3 linked regions of the Lepisosteus oculatus genome follow. The protein of the gene in region 1 interacts with the protein of each later gene in a biochemical or structural test. Links are inferred from orthologs where the notes say so. Each region holds a gene or a part of one and is shown in the gene's direction. Other genes may lie near its edges.

Region 1 (7,366 bases):
TTATATGAATGTCAAATTATAGAAATTCCGCTTAAATGAGTAGGAGTAGGAGTACTGTACGTTTGCTTGGACAGCGTAGCGGTGCCGTGGTGTGAGGTGTGACAGCACTACCTCGAACAGTGTAGCTCGTTCAAATCAGTTGCCTTTGTTGAACTGTACGGTTAGGCTGAAGCTTGGCCGATCTGGACCCTTTTCTTCTCGGGAGCTTCTGTGACCGTGTAAAACTATTCCTGTGTTTCAGTAGGTGGGCAGGTCAGTGTAAGACCCCTGGCCTGCTTTGAAGATGCACTGCAAGCTTACAGCGTCTGTTTCTCCTGCGTTGGCAACCCTGCCTCAGACTAGATAAGCTGCTGCTCACGGTGTTTGATGTGACGGTCGTTACTGATCACGGGCGTGTCTTGCAGGCTGAAGTGGAGGAAACCTTGAAGAGGATTCAAAGTCAGAAGGGTGTCCAGGGGATCATCATCGTTAATGCAGAAGGTACGTGCGCCCACCTGCACAGGTATCATAGTGGTCAGCATTGCTGTGGCGGAGTCCTGGGCTTGGTTCCAGACCTGGGGTGCTGTCTGTGTGGAGTTTGTATGTTCTCCCCAGGTTTGCGTGGGTTTCCTCTGGGCGAGTCCACATGCTCGTATGTTCACTAGCTTCTGGGAAAACTGGCCCTGGCTTGAGTGTGTCTGCCCTACGATGGACTGGAGTCCTGTCCAGGGTGTACCCTGCCTCGTGGCCACTGCTGGGATAGGCTTCAGCTCCCCACACTTCGGAAAGCACTTAGAAAAGGGTCTGTTTTCTTGACTTGCTCAAGTGGGAATCGCCAGTTGTTTTTAGGGCCGTGAGCCCTGGAGAGGGTGGAGGCTGGCAGACAGGCCCCCCTGGAGAGCCGTTCAGCATCACATCTCTCGCACCCGTGTCCCTGCAGGCTGAGGCAGAGCCCGAGAACGCTAGGGCTTCAGGGGAGGCTTTTACTATTCTTAAACGCGGGCCACAAAACGTGCCCAGTGGGTTTCTGACCAAGTTTGATATCCTACGTGTTCACAGGGGTTTTTCCCCCAGTATACTCCCACAGTCCAAAAACATCCTGGCAGGTTAATTGGCTTCTGGAAAAACTGGCCCTGGTGCGAGTGTGGGCACCCTGTGATGGACTGACGTCCCACCCAGGGTGTACCCTGCCTTGCACCCCTTGCTTGCTGCGATAGGCTCCAGCTCCCCTGCAGCCCTGAACTGGACAAAGAGCTTAGAAGATGGGTGGACTTGAAAGGCGTGCGCCATGCATCCCCCACCTCACTCCCTCTTGCCCCTGCTGGTAGGGATCCCCATCAAGTCCACGCTGGACAACTCCACCACCGTGCAGTACTCGGGGCTCATCCACCAGCTGGTGATGAAAGCGCGGAGCACCGTGCGGGACATCGACCCCCAGAATGACCTCACCTTCCTCCGGCTCCGCTCCAAGAAAAACGAAATCATGGTCGCCCCAGGTAACCAGATCAAAAGCATTTAAAAACAAACATTTATTAGTCCAATCGCTGTTTGCATCTGTTTTGCTAGATTGATTTTAAGAGCTGGGTGACGTGTGCAGCAGTATGTGGAGTTATATACAGTGTATGCCTTCGCTGAGATTTATAAAACTGGGCTCATCGGCCCCCCCTACAAGCACCCTGTAATTGTGTGGGGTTTAGTGGCCAGTTGGATCACGATACAGGAAGGGAATAACAGAAAAAATAAATCTTCACTGCATTATGTTAGTAGCTGTTTTTTGTGTTTCTATGCTCCACGCACGCTGATGTGTAAAATTCCTCGCCCAGCGTCCTGCTCACTGACCACTGTGGGGGTGCGAGCAGGAGCAGCAGACAGGTATTAGCGTAGCTCAGCCTGAGGGCTCTCTCACCCAGAGTGCAGATCGAGCCCCTTGTCCGAGCCGGATAGAGAGGGCGTTATTCAGGCAGGAGAGCCCTGTGACCTCCAAGGTGATTCTCACAGAGGTTTCAGCTCTGGCAGGTAGGCAGGTCCTCACTCTCTGTGCAAACAGAAAAGCAGCAAAATGAGCAGAAACAGACTGGACATTAGAAATAGTTAAAACGAAACCCAACTTTTTTTTAAATGTTTTTTTTAACGTTTCATGTTTAATGTTTACAATTTCTTGCATTTGGAATGTGTCTTTTCACATACCCCAGCTTTTTCTCCATGGAAACACAGACAGGGAGAGAAGCTTGGGGTCAGAGCGCAGGGTCTGCCATTGTACGGCGCCCCTGGAGCAGTTAGGGTTAAGGGCCTTGCTCAGGGGCCCAACGGAGTAGGATTCCTCTGCCGGCCGCGGGATTTGAACCGGCAACCTTCCAGTCACAGGCGCAGATCCTTAGCCACAGAGCCACCACTCCGCCCTTATGTCATGCAGGGGGTCATTGGGAGTGCTTTAAGGCAATAATATTTTAAGCTTGTTTTGCAATGTTCAGTAAAATGATAATCTTTGTTTTTTCCTTTTGACAGATAAAGAATACTTCCTCATTGTCGTCCAGAATCCTACAGAATAAGAAGACCTATTCCTTTTATTAAGTTATTTTTTTTATTTACAAGGCCAAATGGTGTATGTCGAAAACTGTGCCAGTGTCGGATAAATTGTTCTAGGTTTATCTTGGAGAAAAAAGCATAAATTAGTTTCATCACAAGTATTCATTTTGTGCAAAGAGTGTAATTCAGTGCAATAAGAAGTAAACCTTTACTGCAGCTCCATTCCTCTGGTTCCCAAGCTATACATCATAACTATACAATGAAAGAGAATGTATTCTCCATGCACATGCAGCAGAAAGCACAGGCTAGGAACTGCTGCTGGTTTAAAGAGTTGGAAACAAAATCACTGAAGTGCAGGGGTGAAGACTGACCAGGTCCAGTGTGATCCTGTGTTTAATTCCGGACTGCTTCCATGAAGGCCTGCAGCATTAATGATTAAGCATCCTGCACTGTCCTGCTCAAAAACTGGTCACTATATTTTCAAAGACGTTATCAATGTAGAACTTGTTCTTATTTACATTTAAACAATCTTTTAGTTTAATAAAACTTGAGGGGTTGGAAAGCTGTGGTTTTCCCCAAAGGGAGCTGGCTTGCAGAGGGTGTTTGAATTTGATTTGTATTTGTTTCCATTCATTTCCTGCACCTGTGAGCTTAAAAGGCATCTGCAGCTCAACACGGTTTTTACTGTGGCTTTTGGGAAGAGTAGATTCCACTACGTGTACAGTGCTTTTCCTCCGATGTAAGGCCGTTTAAAATCTCTTGATTTCTTCAGCTGACTAAAGACAGCCACCCACTGGATGAGTGCAGAAAAGACTCATCTTGGCTCTTGCCCCTACTGTGTTTTGGACCATGAAGCACCCTTTTCCTTTACAGAACTTGTTCCATACTATATATTTAAGAAAGTCATGTGTCAATTTAAAAGCATCTAATAAACTTCTCATGGTGGCAATATGTGCAAAGAGTCTGTATGTTTGCTTGGGTTTCCTCCCACAGCCCAGAAACCTGCTGCTAGTGTGAGTGTTTTTCTGCGTGCCCTGTAATGGCCTGGTATGTACATGCACTCTCTGCACTGAATTAGACTGATCAGCACAGCCCTCTGGATTACACAACACTTAATGCATGTCAAGCAGAAATAATGATTCAGTTTTCACAGCCAGGATTGTATCAGGAACACCCAGTGAGGGATCCTACAGTACCCCCCCCCCACCAGCTTTCCTTTGCCTACATGTCCAGTAGAAGTGTACATTTTAATTGCAACACAAAACTACTAAAAACAAATAAAAGCCTCCTTAATGCATAAAAGTAACGACCTCAGTTTTTTGTTTTGAATATCTAAAAGGTAATTTACCAGGAGGCCATTCAGCTCATACAGCTTCTTTGCTAGTTAGTAGTTAATGGATCCTGGGATTTTATCGAGGTGTTTATTGAAAGAGGTCACGTGGTCAAGGCCTATACCCTGGATGAATCAATCAGTTAGTCCAACACTCCCACCTACCCCGTCTCTAAAGGTCAAGTTTAAACGTGTCACACTTCAATAAACTGGGTGTAAAAACCAAACATGGGCAGTGTTATCAGTAAGGGGCATCATTGCGGGTCTTATTGTTGCCTTTTAAATTTCTGTCTCCAACCCCATTAAATGATTAAGTACTACGAGAGCACCTAAAATGGATGAAAGGGATTCATGAAACACGTCGAGCCGATTCTGTCGGCTAAACACTCCTCCACCCTCTCCACAACACGGCTCCTTCCCCTTTAAGAGTCTCCGGCTGACGTCATACTGCTCGGCTCGCTACACTGTCACAAAAGCGAGCTGGGCAGACAGAGATCCGAGCCCCAGGTTGTCCAGTCATCTGTGCTTGAGACGGGCGTTAAACCGGACTGATCCCTCACAATAATGCCTTCCGACAGACCTTTCAAACAAAGGAGGACGTTTGGTAAGTCATAAACAGTTTATTTGCAAATTAGGACAATGTATTCCCCACCACCACTATCATTGATTACCAGATGTCGTGTCGCTCAGTCTTTTGTTTACCAAACAAAAAAAACAACAATCTAGAAACCTCGTCATAAAGACGGCCTGTCGGGCACTTCTGTTGTGCCCGACCTGGGTGGGTTGTTTTTCTGCCGTGTACGTGAAGCGGGCGTGAGCGTGTTGAAAGGTGTTTTTTTTCTCGCGTCCGTGTAGTTTATTAAAAACGCGGAGCGATCCGGAAGGCCGTGCGTTCACATCGCCGCTCTTGAATCCGTTAGTTGAATACCGGCAGGACCGAACAAGTTGGCATCCGTACCAAACCTCAGTTATGGGCTCTGGTGTTCAGGGACGGAGGATTTTAAAGTCCCATTATTACACCAGCTTGCTGGGTGCACTGCAGGACCTCGCTCTGTGCGAGACCACTTCGGATAACGCGGCCAACAGCACCAGGTTTTGATGTCAGGTTCTTCACGAAAGAATTGGATGATGTAGTATCGCTGCCACAGGGTGGTCCGAGGTCACAGTGTGCTTGGCGTCACGGGCACCCGGTTTCGGGAGTGGGGTCGGCACCCCACGGTGGGGAAGATGGGGAGGTACAGTGAAGTTACATATAATACACTGTTTAATATGGGTCCGCGTATGAGATACAGATCGGATACATGGTGGCAAAAGAACAGCAAATTGCATAAAATGGAATCATTCTCTATATCGGAATGTATTACGTATATGACATACCATACATCAGATTAACCCAAAGAACGTTTTCATCATTCTTGTTAGGACGTTAAAAGCGATTCAGTTTTACGGACTTGATTTCATAAATCAGGATTTTCTAATAAGCGGATATTGACCTGCAATCCCGGCTATGTCGCATCTTAAGAGTATTCAACAGGTGTCTTTAACAGTTCGACAACCTGTGCCGCCTTCAGCGTGCACGCCTTACCGCGAGTATCCCCCCGCCTTTTCACTTCAAAATGAATCAAGGCAGGCTTGTGTGAGAATGCGCACCTCCAAAAACAGCGCCGTACCGCGCAGCCACGCAGGTTAACGCGGGATGTTACCCGTCTCGGAGAGATCGTCAATGTGCTTCCAGACGAAAAGCTGCTCGTCTGCAGAAATCTCCCAACAGGAAGGTCTCAAGGCGACCCGACGGCCCCGCGTGTTTCCGGCGCGATGGGGGCGGAGCTCCGGGGCGGGCGGGCTCCGTCTTCAGGCAGGACCACACCCCCTCACCTCCGCGAAGCTTGGACTTTTACTACAGTAAACATCTTTGGGACGGTGCGTGCTGGATTCCGAATGCCAGCTGACCCCAGGTCAAGAATGTTAAAGGGTGATCCTCATTACGGATGTCTTGCAAAGAACCCGTGCATATGAAGAGGATGCAGGGCTTGACAGAAAAAATTGCAGTATGGGTAAGGGCAAAATAAGAGCAATAGGCTTAGGAAATCCTCCAAATAGAAAAACGGGTCAATATTTTTTTTTCTTATGACGGTATAATCCAACAGTGCTGAGGGATAATTAAGCATTCTATTTCATTTAGCACACAACTTCGGTTAAATTTACAGGTTTTCATTTAGAAGCTGTGGGGGGAAACCATCCTCTACCTTAAGGCGTCCTGTCGATTAGGGACTTGTAGCTGACAGCCGGTATCGGAGCAACACGGAACTAATTGGTAAAGGAGAGAAAAGCCCCTCCCTCCTTACTTTAAATAGACTCGTACAGGCTCCGCCTCAGGTGGGTGTGAACAATGAAGGGCTTGCCGATCCTGGCACGCGAAGACGACACCTGCTGCTCTTTAGCCCAGCTGTTCTTGGTTGAAGCAACACCTTTCCCGGCTGGAATGCGTGGTATTTCTTCTCCACTCGGAAGGGTGGTGTCTTATTCCACTCATGAAATGCAGTGGGCAGAAAGCACCCTCCAGCATGGTGTTTAAGAGCCGAAGAACAATCCAGAGGTTCAAGTGAACCGTGTTGATACCATCGGTGAAGGGCTCAGTTCTGGGACCATGGGCTCGACTGGAACAGAACTCCAGGACCAGGATGTAATTTGCGCCCCTGGTGGGCGTGACCCTAGCAGACATCCCAACTTGGAAATTGGGATTTCGGGGGTCGACCCCTAGTTACCCCTGTTTGCCCTCTCGGGGGGCTTTGTGCTTGTAGCTCCTCTTCGCTGTCATTATGCACAGTGAAGTCCCGTGGTCAGACTGTACTATAATGTGATCCACAGATGAAGGGGAGGTCACTGCTTGGGAGTGTTGTAATAAAGAATGGGGAGTTTTGCCGGTTATCCTGTTCCTGGTGGAAAACTGCAGTTCAGTCAGTGTGACTGGACTCTCCGCTCCGACCCCTTGCTGATCTTTAAGGATGACTGCCTGTTCTAACCTAATAGGTTTCGTTGGAGCTCTTTAATTATATTTAGTTAGAGGTTGTCTTTCAGCTTTTTCTTAAGTCATTTGTTCTCCACCTACTGAGTAGAAGAAAAGCTTTCAAAGGTTCTAACCAAGCAAGTTGTTGGTTCCTCGTTAAGGACTAATTAAACAGAGAGCTCAGCTGCAATAGCAGGTTCCTTTGTCTCGGAGTGGGAACTCTGGCCTAGACCAGTCCTGGTGCTGTTTATGTAGCAGAAAATTGATTTTTCTCATTTGCCCACTGCTTATTTTTGTGCTGTCAGTGTTAGTGTTCGCGGTCAAAGGTCAGCCACGTCTGTGTACAGCTGTGTACTCTGATCAGGAGGATCTGTGGGCATGTAGAGACTGCCTGGCTGAACTCGTTTCGGTAGCTAACACAGGTCAGCTGACTGTTACTTGACTTTATTGTCCCAGGTGGGAAATGTGCTTTGAGGGAATGTAAAGACATAACACATGAAACACAACATGAACAAATAAGATAC
Region 2 (7,272 bases), on another chromosome or scaffold:
GTGGCATCCCTTTATTAGTGAGGCGACACTGTTCCTCAGAACTCGGGAGCTGGCAGAGATGAACAGAAGGGGGAGTGTCTCCAGGTCTGTCCTGCGTGGAGTCTTGTGCTTCCTGGGCCGGCTGGGGCTGGACACAGCCTCCCGAAATCTCTCCTGTCTGATGAAGGAGGGATGTGTTCATGTCCAAGACGCTGAGAATCCGAGATGACAGTTGGAGAGAAAGATTCAATTTTCCTAAAGTCTCCTACTATTTTAAGACTTGATCAAGGTAGATATGGAAATGCTTATGAATGAGGTTTCAAAATGTAGACGGTTCAGAAAATTGTATCCTCACAGCTCCTGTATCCAGACAGAATGAGTACCTTTACCACAGAATTTCTGTCCTGCTCTTACAGAACTTCGTTTTTCGAATTTTTACACAATTCGGATGTCTTGTGTTTTTTGCTGCAATACTTGGCGTGTATACATTTCTAATCCCATTGAAAGAAAAAACGTTTGAGTGATGAGTGCCCTCTTGTGGAAGCTTCAATGATCAACATTTCAGCATTATTAGGAGGCCATGACTGGTGAAGGCCTGGGGGACATTTGGCCAGGACACCGGGGTTACACCCCTACTCTTTTCGAGTAAACACCCCTGGATTTTTTAATGACCACAAAGTCAGGACCTCAGTTTTATGTATCGTCTGAAGGACAGTGCCTTTTTACACTCTAGTGCCTCTGTCACTGTACTGGGGCATTAGGACCCACACAGACTGCAGGGTGAGCGCCCCCTGCTGGCCCCACTAACACCTCTTCCAGCACCAGGTTGAGCTTTCCCAGGAGGTCTCCCGTCCAGGTAGTGGCCAGGCTCACACTGCTGGACTGCAGTGGGCTGCCATCTGGGAGCTGCGGGGTGACCGAGCAGCTGGGCTGAATGGACCCCACCTTCAGACCGGTCTCTGAGAGCGAGAGGCCACTTATAAAGAGTCTGGAGCGCAGACTGTGGCCTTGTGAGAGAACCTGCGGGTGTGAGAGAGCTGTGTCAGCAGCCAGAGCCAAACAGGGACTACACGTTCAGTTTGTGCAGAAATAAATGTTTATTTTCATGTGCTTCCTGTGGCAGCCTGTGGGGGGCGCTCTCCCTGCGCTCACAGCTTGCCCTCCCTTTCCAGGCTCGGGGCCTCGGAGCTGGGCCCGGCACTTCCGGCGGGGGCAGATTCCGCCCCCTCGGAGACGCTGGCGTCCTCGGAGTCCGGCTCCGGCTCGCCGGTCCGGACCGCCGCCCCCTGCTCCTTTTCCTCGTCTTTCTCCCAGCCCAGCGGCAGCGAGGGGACGCCGGGGGGCTGCCAGTCGAAGGCGAAGGATCCAAACATGGTGACCGGGCTGCTGGAGCTGGAGCGGCACAGGAACGGCTGGGATTCCTGGGAAACAGGGGGAAGGCCAGGAGAGACAGGTCAGGATTGGGAATACAGAACCGACCGACTGTTCTGGACTGGGTGTCTCGGCTCGGCCGTGCGCAGGAGGAGCTGGGAGGTTATGCACTGTTAGACCCAGGAGAGGTTCCGAAGGGGCTTTACTTTGTCAGAGGGTCCTGGCGCTGGGGCGGGGTCACCAACACGGGCCGGCGCCGTCTCCGGTCTGGTCCGTCTCCCCTTGGCCTGGGTGCCCACGGATCGTGGGGCCCCCGGGGGTCTCTCGTCCGCAGGCAGCGGCTCCGGGGGAGACTCTGGGGGAGACTCCGGGGGAGACTCGGGGGGCTGTGAGTTCAGAGACAGGACAGAGGAGTTGAGGAGCGTGGGGTCGGACAGGGATCGCATCCAGGCCCGAACCCTCCATTTTCAGGAGTCAGGAGTGGGATCTGGGGACTCGGCTGAGGCGGCAGGACCGACTCACCACTGTCGGGCCCCCGACGGGCTCTGGGCCGGCGTCCTCGGTCCGGTCCCCGTATTCGCCGGGCCGGACCCCCATCACTTCCTCTTCCTCGGCCCCGTCACCCCCATCTTCCTCGGGGGACCCCGGGACGGGGAGGGCGCTGGGGGGTGCCTCTGCGTCGGGGTCTGGAATTCAGCACGAGAGCAGAATGTCACTGACACGGAGGACAGAGAGAGGCTCCTGGGTAAACAAACACTGTAGCCAGGAGCCTTGGAGGAGCACAGGAGGGGGGCTGAGAGTCTTCAGGCTAATAGGAGAACCTCCTTACCGGTCGAAGTGGGGGTGGCAGGCGTGGGGGGCGCTGTGGCCGAGGTGTCGTCCTTGCGGGTGCGGGATTTGGGCTTCTCTACGGGAGAGACACCTCCGCAACAGACAAACACCGTCATCAGGTTCAGGAGGAACATAGGGAAATCTCCCTCCTCCTTCTCCTTGGCTCTTCTCCTGAGGAATTTCCTCTTCCTCCCCCTGGCGAATCTGGGCTCACTCGGGGGGGGGGGGTCTGGTGGGGTGGCAGCCAGTGGCTTGCCTGGGTCACTGTGTCGTTGACCCATAGGCAGAAGACAACACACAAATCGTATTCACGAATCAGAGTGCGATCAACTGCAACCGGTTTCTACAGGAGGCCCCTTTTATACCCCGGCGACTGGCGAGGTGGCGGGGTCTATGTGACATCCTGTATAAGAAAATTGTGATGTCCTCCCGTTGCTAGGCGGTAAAGGGATGCACTCCAGCACGTCACTAAGGGATTGTGATGTCATCGCGGCTTCCGCGCACTGCCGCTAGGCATCCTGGGATAGGGGAACACTAATTAGCTTAGCCGTTTTATAAGGCAAAAAAACGCGCAACTGATTAAAAAAGTGGTTCCTGATTCTCTGTGTATTCAATCAAAATATGAAATTTGTTTAGCTTTATTAAGTCCCATTCACCAAGCGCAGTCGTTTTTAAGCATTTAATGTGCAAATCAATGAACTGCGTCCGGTTTTCCAGCGCAGCTCTTAGGCATTAAGAGTTAGTTGAATATAGCGTTACGTTTGTCAACTCATCTGTTTACCGATCTGCGTAACATCGGGGTCGTTTTCAGAGCACCGGGGCGCTGAGAAGCGCTGCTGTGGCTGAGAGGCCAGTGAGGCTCAGTGCGGGTCACTGCGGGTCTCTCTCAAGACGCTGTAAACACAACTGTATGGGCTGACATCCAGAGTGATGTGTTTTCGCCGCTTAAACCAAAAACAAAAGTCTCTCGTTTCGCTCAATATATACAGTATATGAGAACTGGAAAAGGCATGCCCTGAAATACCCCGTCTTGTATTATTTAACGTCCAGTGAAACCTGAGGGGAAGAAGAGCTCTTTGTTTTGCTCCAGCAGGTCTCAGTTCTTAAAGCCGAAAACGTGAGAAATAAACTGGGGACGGCGCCCCAGAAACACTGGGAGGGTCGTTTGGGAAGCTACGACCAGCGGCACCAATCTTTAACATTGCTTACAGCCCAGAGACCCCGGGTCTTCTAGGTAACAGATGCCGACGTTTGTAAAAATAAAATGTGGGAGAGTCAGTTCCGCCGTTTGCTGGAAGCTTCCAAAATCGTCGAGAGTTTGCGGCGAGAAACACAGTGTTTCACCTTCGCGCTCACCGCCAGACTCCCAGCAGCAGGTCTTGTCCTGAAAACGGGGCAAAAGGCTACAAAATCGGTTCCGTCCGAATTCAAACTGCAGGAGCATCATCTGTCGTCCCAGCGTTACCGTGGGTTCAGGAGTCCGCACGAACCAGGGGAAACTACGGAGAAGCCGTGGGCGGGAGGCAGCTCTTTACACAAAGCGTGGTGGGAGTGTGGAACAAGCTGCGATCTTTGGATCAATAAGCAACAAACTATCAAATTAATCTGGTCTGGTTTTAAGTGTTCAAACCTCTATTAGGCCTTATTTTCCTTATTTTTGGGGGGTGGTTTCAGTGGACAAACACCATCCAGGTGGGGCTGCACATTGGTGGTGGTGGAGGGGATCCCCGTTACCTGTAAAGCGCTTTGAGTGGAGTGTCCAGAAAAGCGCTATAAAAGTGTAAGCAATTATTATTATTATTATTATTATTATTCATACAATTTTTGAAAAGTTATATATATTATAGTTAAGCTTATATTCGCTACAGTTAACTAGTCTATGGAAGTAACACGGGTCATCTGAATGGGATTACGTTTCGGTTTGTGCGGATTACTGAAAATCACTTCGTTCGCGAGTACGATAGAAGAAAAATAACGTCATCACGTGTCTTCTGTGGTGAACTACATTTCCCAGAGGGCCATTCTTAGGGAGCCGGAAGTGCAGTGAGTTGACCTTGCAGCGAGGCAGAGCGCAACACAGAAGCAGGCAGCATGGCGAATAAGGAGCCCAGTGTGAGTATGGAAATTACACACGTATTTGGAAATATTGCCGATTAAAACACATTGCCGTGGAGTTAGTGCTTTCCCGTGAGATAGTTACATTCTTGTTTTCGTAAAGACCGTGGCGCCAAGCTCGGTTTGATGTCATTCTGTCTGAGGCTTCATCTTTTTTTTTTTGATTAACGTGAATATGGTTTTGTTTTCCCAGAATAAACCTACCAAATAATTCAAGACGTGTGTTCCCCGAGCTTTAAGTCTATGCGTGGAATTGCAGAATAAAGTAATACTGCTGTAAATGCTGTAGAGGGATTGCTTTTTGTGCCTGGACTAACGAGGCCGTGTTAGACTTCATATTGTTGGTCACAAGAGACAGCGGATCTTGGCCGCGTACGATATGCAGGGGACTGGATTGTTTTATTTTTCAAAGCTAGTGTGTAGCATTCTGATTAACAGATATGTGATCTGAAGAGCTCGGCGCTGTAGCAACCGGTGCAATACGGCGCGTCTCGCTGGAGTCTGTGGGGGTCGGTGACATTGCATCACGCCGTCTGTAATTAGACCCTTCAGACTTCCTCTGCCTTTGACTTATCCGTGTGTCCTCAAGGAACCTGGTGTAAACGTGTTGGTTATTAACGTACCGCCGCGGCCCCAAGACAAGGAATGTTCTGGATGTAGTAAATATGGAGTCCAGCCTTGTCCGAAGAAGTCAGCGCGGCGATGCCCGGTGCCGCCACTAGGGGGAGCGCTCGCCCACAGCGGCACCTCAGCCGCTGAGTTTCATAACCTGAGCGAATGTTATTCTTGCGATGAAACTTGCGCGGTATCTGGAAGCACCGGATTTCCCACCTGTGTTTTATTTTCAAACCCAGAACGAGCCGGTTCGGAACAGACGCGCACGGCTCTGTGTCACCAGGCTGGCTGCTCCCGGGCGAGACCCGGAGGAACCGTCTTGCAATAAATATTTGTCGTGGCCGCAAATATGGGCACCCCGTGCACATTTTTTTCAAATAATGCTACACTTCTTCCAGACAAATGCTGAAATTAAAAATGTATTTCTTATACATTGTATTGCTTTGGTTTGCAGTGAAACAAACAAAAAAAGCTGAATTATGTACTAAGTACTAAGCTTATTCCACAAGAAATCCTAAAATGGCCCGGACAGTATTATTGGCACCTTCTACAAGCGTTTAGAAATAATTCTATTTCAAGCCGGTGATTCTCCTTTACTTTGGAATTGAACTCAGCTGTGGTGATTTGCAGGTGCCTGCAATATAAAAATCACTAGTTCAGCCAGTCAGAATAGAGAAAAGGACTCTTTCTCCTGTTTTGTGTCACTGTGTGGACCACAATGAGCATGGAGAAAAGAAAGACATTCTTTTGTAGCGTGGACAATCTCAAGGCTACAAGTCCGTCTCCAGAGACCTTGATGTTCCTGTTTCCACTGTATGTAATGTTATCAAGAAGTTTAAGAGAAAACTTGATCGAAGATTGTAGCGAAGGGTTGTTCGAATGGTGGAGAAAGCAGCTCGATCAGCTGCCACACAGATTCAAGCTGACCTTCAGAGCCGAGGTGCGACAGTCTCAACACGCACCCCCCCTCGCCAGCTCAGTGACCCAGGAGGACCCCGCTGCTGAGAGAGAGACATCAGGAAGCCTGACTGCAATTTGCCAAAATCCTCCTGAGAGAATGTCCTGTGGACAGATGAGACCGAACTAGAGCTTTTTGGTAAAGCACACCGCCTCTATGTTTACAGAAAACGAAATGAAGCCTTCAAGGAAAAGAACACCTTCCCTACAGTGAAACATGGAGGAGGTTCAGGGATGTTGTGTGGTCGCCTTGCTGCCACTGGCGCTGGATGCCTTGAGCGTGTGCAAGGCGTCTTGAGATCAGGAGAACACCGGGGCATTCCGGAGCTCAATGTCATACCCAGAGTCAGAAAGCTGGGTCTCCGTCGAAGGTCATAGGTCTTCCAGCTCAACGATGACACCGGACACTTCAAAAAGCACTCGGGAAAGGGGCAGGACAAAACACTGGACTGTTCTGGAGGGACCAGCAATGAGTCCAGATCTAAACCCGTTGGAAACCTGTGGAGAGATCTGACAACAGCAGCTGGGAGAGGGCACCCTTCACACCTGGCAGGCCTGGAGCAGGTGGCACGAGAAGGGTGGGCCAGACTGCCAGTACAGAGGTGCAGGAAGCTCATCGGTGGCCATAGGAGGCGCTTGATTGCAGATATTGTGACACAAGGCTGTGCTACCAAATATTGAGTCTGGGCCGTCAATAATTTTGTCAATGCAATGCCGTTTCTTTTTATTTTCTGATTTAAAAGGATAGATTAAGTCCTGAATCAAAAACAACGGTTCTGTAATAGTAACAGTGAAATAAAGAACTGTGGAGACCACATAAGTTGGTCAGTTGCAACTTATTTTTAGAGAAAACTGTGAGTTATTTGCCAAAAGTGCAAGGGTGCCGATGTTTTTGGCCACGACTGTACCTTGTCTCTAGAAATGAAGTGCAGCATCTTAGCGGTGGTAGTTTTTAACGCAGGACTAAATCCAATCAAAGGCTGGTGGTCTGTTTTCAGAAAGGTGCGGCGTGGTGTGTAAAAGCCGAAAGGGCTCCGTCTTCCCACACGGTCCTGACAAGAGATCCTCAGGGATGGAGTTGACCCCCCCCGGTGTCAGACTTGACTCCCCCCCCTTGCCTGTGGGGGCAGTAGGACGCCAGACAGGCGTGCTGGCTAAGCCTGTGCTCTCTTTGCCCCGCAGAGGTTTGTGCAGCAGCTCAGGGACATGGCCAGCCGCATGTCCTCGGGCTCCAGGGGAGCCGGCATGGGCCTCAAGCTGCTGCTGGGAGCCGGGGCTCTGGCCTACGGGGTCAAAGAGGCCACATACACAGGTGCGTATGGGCGCGACAGCGAGAGCAGAGAGGCGTCTGCAAGCCTGTCAGCTCTGATGGCTGGGGATGGGGCCGGCAGGCAGGAAGCGCTG
Region 3 (7,389 bases), on another chromosome or scaffold:
AGATCTTATTGTGGGTGCTACTGTGATGCCCCTCAGCATTGTGTATTTGCTGGAGAAAGAGTGGAGACTAGGCAACATGGTTTGCCAGTTTTGGTTAGTCATGGATTATGTAGCCAGTACAGCTTCCATCTTCAGCCTCTTTATTTTGTGTGTGGATCGGTATCGCTCTGTGAGGCAGCCACTTAGATATCTCAAATATCGGACCCGGGCCAGGGCCAGTGTTATGATATCAGGGGCCTGGCTTTTGTCAATGACATGGGTCATACCCATATTGGGATGGCGGACCTTTTCGGACGTCGATCCACAGCCCGAAACGGAAAACAAATGCGACACGGATTTTCGATTTGTTACCTGGTTTAAAGTCCTTACTGCAGTTTTGAACTTCTACGTTCCCTCCGTGCTGATGCTGTGGTTTTACGCACAGATATATATGGCAGTGAGAAAGCATTATCGGCAAAGGGAGATCATCAAGGAGTCGAAGCCCTCTTCTTACAACAGGAATTGTTTCGCTAACAATTGTAAAATATCTGGGAAGAGGCGTAAGACTGATGTAGTCAGACAGGAAGAGAGTGCTCCTCAGGAATCTTCCCACTTTGAGGGTTTGATTGATCAGTACAGCCTCGGACAGCAATACTACCCAAAAGACATAAATGAGGGTATAGAGACCTGGGTTGAGAAAAACACAACTAACTGCTGCTACCAGGCTGCTTTATTCACTATCCCCAAACATCAAAAGCAGCTGCAAGAAGACATGTTCCTGACAGATAAAGAAAAGCACCCGCTTGCTTCTCTTGGTACACAGGGGGACACAAACGAACAGCATCTGGCCATGGGTCCTGAGACACCTTTGAAGGTGGCCTGCTTGCCTCTGGGCATTCTGCAATCAGAGAATGAAGATGTCAATGCAATGTTTGTGTCAGTCAGTGACTGTAATTTAATTGTGCCCAACTCTGTCGCTGGCGTCTGCGAGATAACAGACATTTCTGATGTTCAGAGGTTTGCCACAGTCCTGTGTAAAGATGAGTTCTCACATCCTGAGCCTCCATCGTGGTCTCACAGCAGTAGCCCCAAGGTAGATACTGCCAGCGTGAATAACCTGAAGCAGTCTTGGCAAAAGTTCTGCTCCCAGTCCAAACAGTATGTTCAGAGCCTTCGCATCAGTAAGGAACGAAAAGCTGCAAAACAGTTGGGCTTTATCATCGCAGGTTTTATGGTGTGTTGGATCCCTTACTTTGTAACATTTATGGTAATGGCCTTTTGTAAAACGTGTGTTCATCATGATCTGCATATGTTCACCATCTGGCTAGGATATATCAACTCCACATTAAATCCTTTCATTTATCCCCTCTGCAATGAAAATTTCAAAAAAATCTTTAAAAATATACTCCATATTAATTCCTAATAGTTTAAAGGATTTTTTCCACGTACCACTGGATGTGCATTATCATGTTTGATATTACGATAGTTCATATCAAATCAACCCAAACCTCCCTACAAGTCCTTTCAATTTCTCTTGAAATTACCCTCTGTAATTCTCAGATCATTTCCAAAACATCTTAAATGACAAAGGAATCAGGACTGTTTCAGCATTCTGAATGTAAAAGGAAACTATTTCAGGACTAATAGCAATACATATTTTTTTCAATTTTACTATTCTGAAATGAGGAACCTATTTTACGCAATTCAGATGTTTCTGTGTAAAAATAATCATGCTAATTAAAGTCTTTCTCCAAAAGAAAGTTCCTTCAACAATGTGTGTGAGACCTACGGTGGTGGGTCTTGTTCTTGTTGTGCAGTACAATGACATCTTCCCCATGTGTTCACAAAAGATTAAAAGAGCATAAAGACTTTCATTGCCTTAGATTAGTACTATCAACTTAGTCATCACCCTAAAATAACCTCTGGAAAACATTTTTACTTATTAGCATTTCAATGAGCTTCTATTCCAGTCTGAAAGAGGCCTTCTTGCTATTCAAGTTAGTGTTTATGTGAAAAGTATTCATCCATGTTTTGAAAGCAAATCTTAGATCACAGACCTTTTATGTCGAAAACAGGTACCACAGTTTCTGCTATTGATGTTGACAGCATGAAACATAGTGGCCTTTTACATTTCCACACAGAAAGAATTGTATAGTATTGCTCCTAGTGTTATGTGCGTCATTTTGAAATAATTTATTTTGTAATTCGATGTTAAAGGTGATAGTCATTTAATCACTAATCAATAAATCCTTGTATTCATTATCTTAAAGAAATATTTTATTTTTAGATTTATGAATGAACAAGCTGCCCTGCCATTTAAAAATTAAAACATACTGTACCAATTAAAGGCTATTTGATTGGAAATTTACTGGAATCCTAATTTCTCTCAAACCAAAGAACTATATAAAGAAGGACTAGTGATTCATTTGTTTGTTTCAGTATTCTCAGTATGTAAATATTTTTTTTTCCTTCTCCTTGTAGGCAACACTGGACATTGGATATACTGTATATGAAGCAAATCTTTTGTATTTTCCAATAACTATCTTATATTCATTACAGAACAGACAAATGTTTTAAAAAGTGGTTTACGTGTTTCATATTAACTTCATGTTTGGTTGAAAATGGAACTGTGAATTTGAAACAACATGCAACCTTTGTGTTTTATTCAAAGATCTAATGTAGAATCTACTAGTGTTTGTATCTAAAAACAACGTCTTAAATTTATGACTCATGCTATTTATTGTTCATTTTATAAAAATATTTGTTAAAGTTTGCTGGATCAAATTAATGCCTTTATTTATGTGTCGAGTAAATTGTGTATTACACTGTGCTGGCTGTATTTACAAAGTAATCTATTATTTAACTAAACAACATTGTTTTTCTTTGTCGTAGTATTTTGATACATTTTCCACATCCATTGACGGCGCACTTTATTCAGAAATGTAAAATGTTTCAGTAACATGTTATTTTAATTCATGCCTGTTTTGTTAAAGAAGTGACAGATTTAAATTTGTTTTAAATAATTGACAAAAATAATCCTTCAGAACAGAACTTTATAATTTGCAGGCCAAAAGCAGGAAAAGTCAAACAAATTTGTAAATACTGCACATTTACTACAATGGACTAGCGACCGATCTGAGGTATACCCCACCTTGAATCCATTATTTGCAGGTACCAACTCCATTGCAAACCTAAATTGGATGAAGTAATAAGAAAATGATGGATACCACAGTCATATATCATGTAACAATATCAGTAATGGTTACTAGTACTGTAATAAACTATTACAACATCAATTCTGTATTTGTTTTTCAACGCATATGAAAGGTTATCTTAGAGAAATACTATATTTCTATCAAGGAATGTAGGGCACTATTACAAGAAAATATATGATTTTGGCTTTACTGTTACAGTGAAAAGGAAATGGCAAAACACATTATACAGAGATGTAACCGAAATATTGATAAAGAAAGGGCTTATATTTCCCTGCAACTTACAGTATTTGGGATCTGCAAGATTGTTTTAATAACATATTTAGATATAGTATCAAGATTAGTGTTTTTTTCTCAACAGGACTAACTACCAAGCAAATCAGTTTCAAGTGTTTGTAATGTCCAAATACATCAAAACCTCCAAAGTTCAAAGACATAAAAACAGTAAACAATTATGTAACCTTCAGTCACACTACCCATGTTTAAGATGATTCAGCAGTCATTTGTAATGCCCAATAGAGTCAAATCAACAAAACTCACTGAACTACGTAAAACTTAAGAACTTCTGTCTGGACATACAGTAAAAGAGCAAAGTCTTAATCTCTCTTTGTAGAGACAATAGGCTCATTCAGTTCAAGAACGCCTTTGGAACCAGTACCAAATTGACTCAGTACCAAATGCTCCTTTCTCAATGGAAGATGTTTGTGTTTTTTTAGAATTTGTAGCTTATTCTACAAACATTTGGGTCCACTGACCATTGCTCCTGAAGACTGACTGCAATATGAAAGTGTGCAATTCAGAGAAAAACTTAAGGACACGACACAATATTGAGCACCAAGTCACAGCTAAATAACATTCCAAACACCTTGGATAAGCAAAAGCTTAAATTAAACATTGACAAAAAATGAAAACGGACAAAATAAGTAGCAGACTCTTATAGCTTTCTTTTTTTGTTGTCATCATCCACTACACATCTTGTATCTCTTAAGAGCTGGGTTTCTCAAGAGTCCAGAGGTTATACATTCAGAGGGGGAAATATTTTGTGGTCTCATAAAAGTATGTTTTCAAGCATGGCTGTGGAATGTACAGTGGCACTTATATCAATACCATGTAGTACCAGTAAGATGTATTAGTAGTATGGTATATCATGAATACAATTGGTGATACCACGGTGTACAAGATTTGACAAGGTACAATATGAAGAACTATGGTACAGTATATGGTAGGTACAATTGTCTTCTTTAAATTCTAGTTATAACAAATGTATATTTTGTAACAATTGTAAACATGCTTTCTAAAGCAAAAATGCAGGCTTGTTTCAGAGGCTTCAAAGCTATTTCTCATCTGTTCCTAATTAAACATTTATTTTCAGACATGGTGCATGAAAACCATAAATTATTTTTAATTTAATTAAATACTGATTATTTTTAAACAAAAAAAAATGTGTGAATTCAGTTTGCTAACAAGGTATCACCTTGTGAATCAGTCCTGTGGCCCTACTGCACTTAACCGAGCTCATGGTCCACAGTGAAAAGCAGTATGCAAACAGATGTATTGAAATGCTTATGGACTTACAACACAGTACTTTATGTACAGAGTTTCTAAGTTTTAGCAGCTTTTAATACTCAAGATCATGCCATTATTCTAATCCAGGATAATGAGGAGATGGACAGTTCCTTTCTTCAGACGTTTTTTTTTGTGCCCAACATTAACTCTATCAACAGGTTAGTTAACTCTATTCATATGGGAATAGTCATGTTTAAATACATTGTACAGTAAGTTATTAAATCTATGATAAATGTGATCATGCAGTATACTAAAATATGTTTGTTCTGCATGTATTTAAAAAGACAAATTGTGTGGTTTTGTGTGATTCTGTAGATTTAACTTAAAATGCTATATATATTTCTTTTTACAACAAGCAAAAAACAAGACAATGTCACAACTAAACTACTGTATTCAGTGGTGGCAGATGTGAGGGGGGGATTCCATCAGGAGATAATATTTTCGTTCTCAAAGTTTCGTTGTGGTGCCCATCACAGCCAGCTTATATTTGAACTGCTTGTAAATAAATAATTAAATGTAATATGTTTAATGACTAAATCTGAGAAATTACTCAGGTAACTGACAAATTGCCTAACATGGTTTCATGAATATTTGAAAGATATTAGACATGTTGCTTAACAATAGGTAACTCTCATATCCATAGTACAACAACAACACTGTACCCACTAATTATTATTCAATTATTGCCAGTAGAATACAGTATAAACTGTTTAAGATTTATGCAGTAATAAACAGATCTCAATGGGCTTTTGAACGTTTTCTGAACTAGAAGATCTTGGTCACTGGTAGATACCAGATGAACCTTTTCTACTACAATTTCCACTAGGGCATATGTTAAATTGATTAACGTAATACCAATAAATTGTTTTTTAACAGGCTTAGACTTGTCACAGAGAAAAGAACAGATCAAGGCCGATTCGTTTTCAATGGCGCTGCTGAGCAATTACTGTAGTTCCTAGCATGGACGCTCAGGACTGGTGCGTCTGATGAACAGGCACCAAAAATGCAGTTTGAGTCTCCAGTTCAACTCGTTCTCAGTATAGCCAGACTAGAAAAACCACATCACTCCATGCACTGGTCATGGGAATTTTGAAATCTGTTTAGGATATTTTTTGCGGGAAAACCAATCACAAAATATCGTTTGCTCGTCGATTGCTGCAGTATGAAACAGGTTTAAATCTTTCATGCGGCACCACGCTTTATTTATCGATATCATGTTGGGATCCATTTTGTATTAAACCAAGAAAAACGATTCTAGTTCCATGTGAGGCAACTCACCTTATAGTTCGCTGCGTTGCTTCGTGGGAGGTAACATTACTATTTTAGCTACAACAGGGAGAGTTCCTTCTTATCAGAATGAAAAGGAATGGTGCATACCAGTTTTTCTCTGTTTTTTCGTGCTTGGCTGTCTGCGCTTTTTTGTTTCTGTTTTGGTTCTTTGTTTTTTATACAATAGTTAACGCACCGTAAACTGTATTTAAATGCAATGCCTTAGTGCAGTAAGTGGTTTCCACGGTCGACTTCTGTGGATGAAAATATTGATTATTTTGCATGCAACACTAATCTATGTAAGTGGTGAAACAAACAGATAGCTATAATGGCCAGGCTTCGTGTATTTACCCTGTCTACCTTGTTAGCTAGATTCAGTTTAGTTTCTTGATTTTTTTGGATTTAAAGATTTACGTAAGTTATTGCTAACATTTTGGCTTTCATTTTGTAATGCAATTAAATGTAGACGATATCTACTGGATTGTTATTATTTAGGTGTTGGAAAAGCTTTTTGTAGTAAATATGTGAAGTTTGTTAATAATTTCACATTCCTAGTTCTGCAGACGCCTGTACTATAATAAATCAGAAAGGATTATACATTTGGACGCTGTAATTTGTTGGAAATTCGTATCACTCCCACAACACTGGCGTAACTAATACATTACGTGCATTCTTTGCGTACGTCTGACGTCACTCTAAGAGCGTCCGGTCACAAGTGTCGAAGGCGGAAGTAGCTTTGGTAAGTATGCAGGTTGGAGCATTTGTTTTTTGGTCTGGGTACATAACAAAATTATACTTAGTAAAGTTTTTTCATCCAGCTTCCCTGTAGTCGGAATGATATGCCTTCTCTTCAGAACACTTGGCTATCTAATAAACATGATTAATAAAATATATGTGATGATTTCTTTTCGAGTCCAAGTTGAAGTTACTCCTTTTCATAATGAAAAGCACATAGTGTTGGACTGCTTTCTGTAAATTCTGCTAAATATTCTACGTTTTTTTTAGGTTAAATCTTATGTTTATGATATGAATTTAAATGATAAGGTGAGCTATATATGTGTCACGTTACAGCTACGTAGCTCAAAGCTGTTGGATATTCATTTTTCATTAAAGCCTAGGTCATTACCTGATTTAACCTTATTCTTCCCCGCCTCATTTGGTAAGTGTGGAGTATGTTAAGGATGGATTCTGATGAAAAATAATTACCAAGAAAACAATGCCAGCATGCGTCTTTATCAGAAAGTAAAACAGGCAAGGTAACGTGGAAATCCAAACTCTTCATTGTGTTATAGAGCAACAATATGTTACTGTTTCATAAACCTGCGGCTCCAAGTGGAACGTATTCTGTAGCTTCAAGTTAAAA

What was found.
Region 2: the proteins of map1lc3a (region 1) and phb2b form a complex in vitro, tested with the Homo sapiens proteins (2 studies listed by BioGRID). The link is inferred for Lepisosteus oculatus from reciprocal best matches to the Homo sapiens genes MAP1LC3A and PHB2.
Region 3: the proteins of map1lc3a (region 1) and atg7 form a complex in vitro, tested with the Homo sapiens proteins (2 studies listed by BioGRID, with this or other methods). The link is inferred for Lepisosteus oculatus from reciprocal best matches to the Homo sapiens genes MAP1LC3A and ATG7.

Annotation. Positions count from the first base shown.
Region 1 is NC_090711.1:2,773,404-2,780,769, forward strand, and holds the start of map1lc3a (microtubule-associated proteins 1A/1B light chain 3A), read left to right. Parts: upstream 1-4,281; 5' UTR 4,282-4,399; coding exon 4,400-4,439; intron 4,440-5,779; exon of another isoform or gene 5,780-5,885; coding exon of another isoform or gene 5,886-5,889; intron 5,890-7,366. Other genes in the region: dynlrb1 (dynein light chain roadblock-type 1), read left to right, coding at 405-480, 1,308-1,475, 2,485-2,528. UniProt on the Homo sapiens protein: Ubiquitin-like modifier involved in formation of autophagosomal vacuoles (autophagosomes). While LC3s are involved in elongation of the phagophore membrane, the GABARAP/GATE-16 subfamily is essential for a later stage in autophagosome maturation.
Region 2 is NC_090708.1:1,898,777-1,906,048, forward strand, and holds the start of phb2b (prohibitin-2b), read left to right. Parts: upstream 1-4,185; 5' UTR 4,186-4,272; coding exon 4,273-4,293; intron 4,294-7,050; coding exon 7,051-7,180; intron 7,181-7,272. Other genes in the region: uncharacterized protein, read right to left, coding at 1,128-1,400, 1,557-1,736, 1,873-2,036, 2,180-2,462.
Region 3 is NC_090699.1:61,988,085-61,995,473, forward strand, and holds the start of atg7 (ubiquitin-like modifier-activating enzyme ATG7), read left to right. Parts: upstream 1-4,321; 5' UTR 4,322-4,413; intron 4,414-6,035; exon of another isoform or gene 6,036-6,122; intron 6,123-6,613; exon of another isoform or gene 6,614-6,765; intron 6,766-7,389. Other genes in the region: hrh1 (histamine H1 receptor), read left to right, coding at 1-1,402. UniProt on the Homo sapiens protein: E1-like activating enzyme involved in the 2 ubiquitin-like systems required for cytoplasm to vacuole transport (Cvt) and autophagy.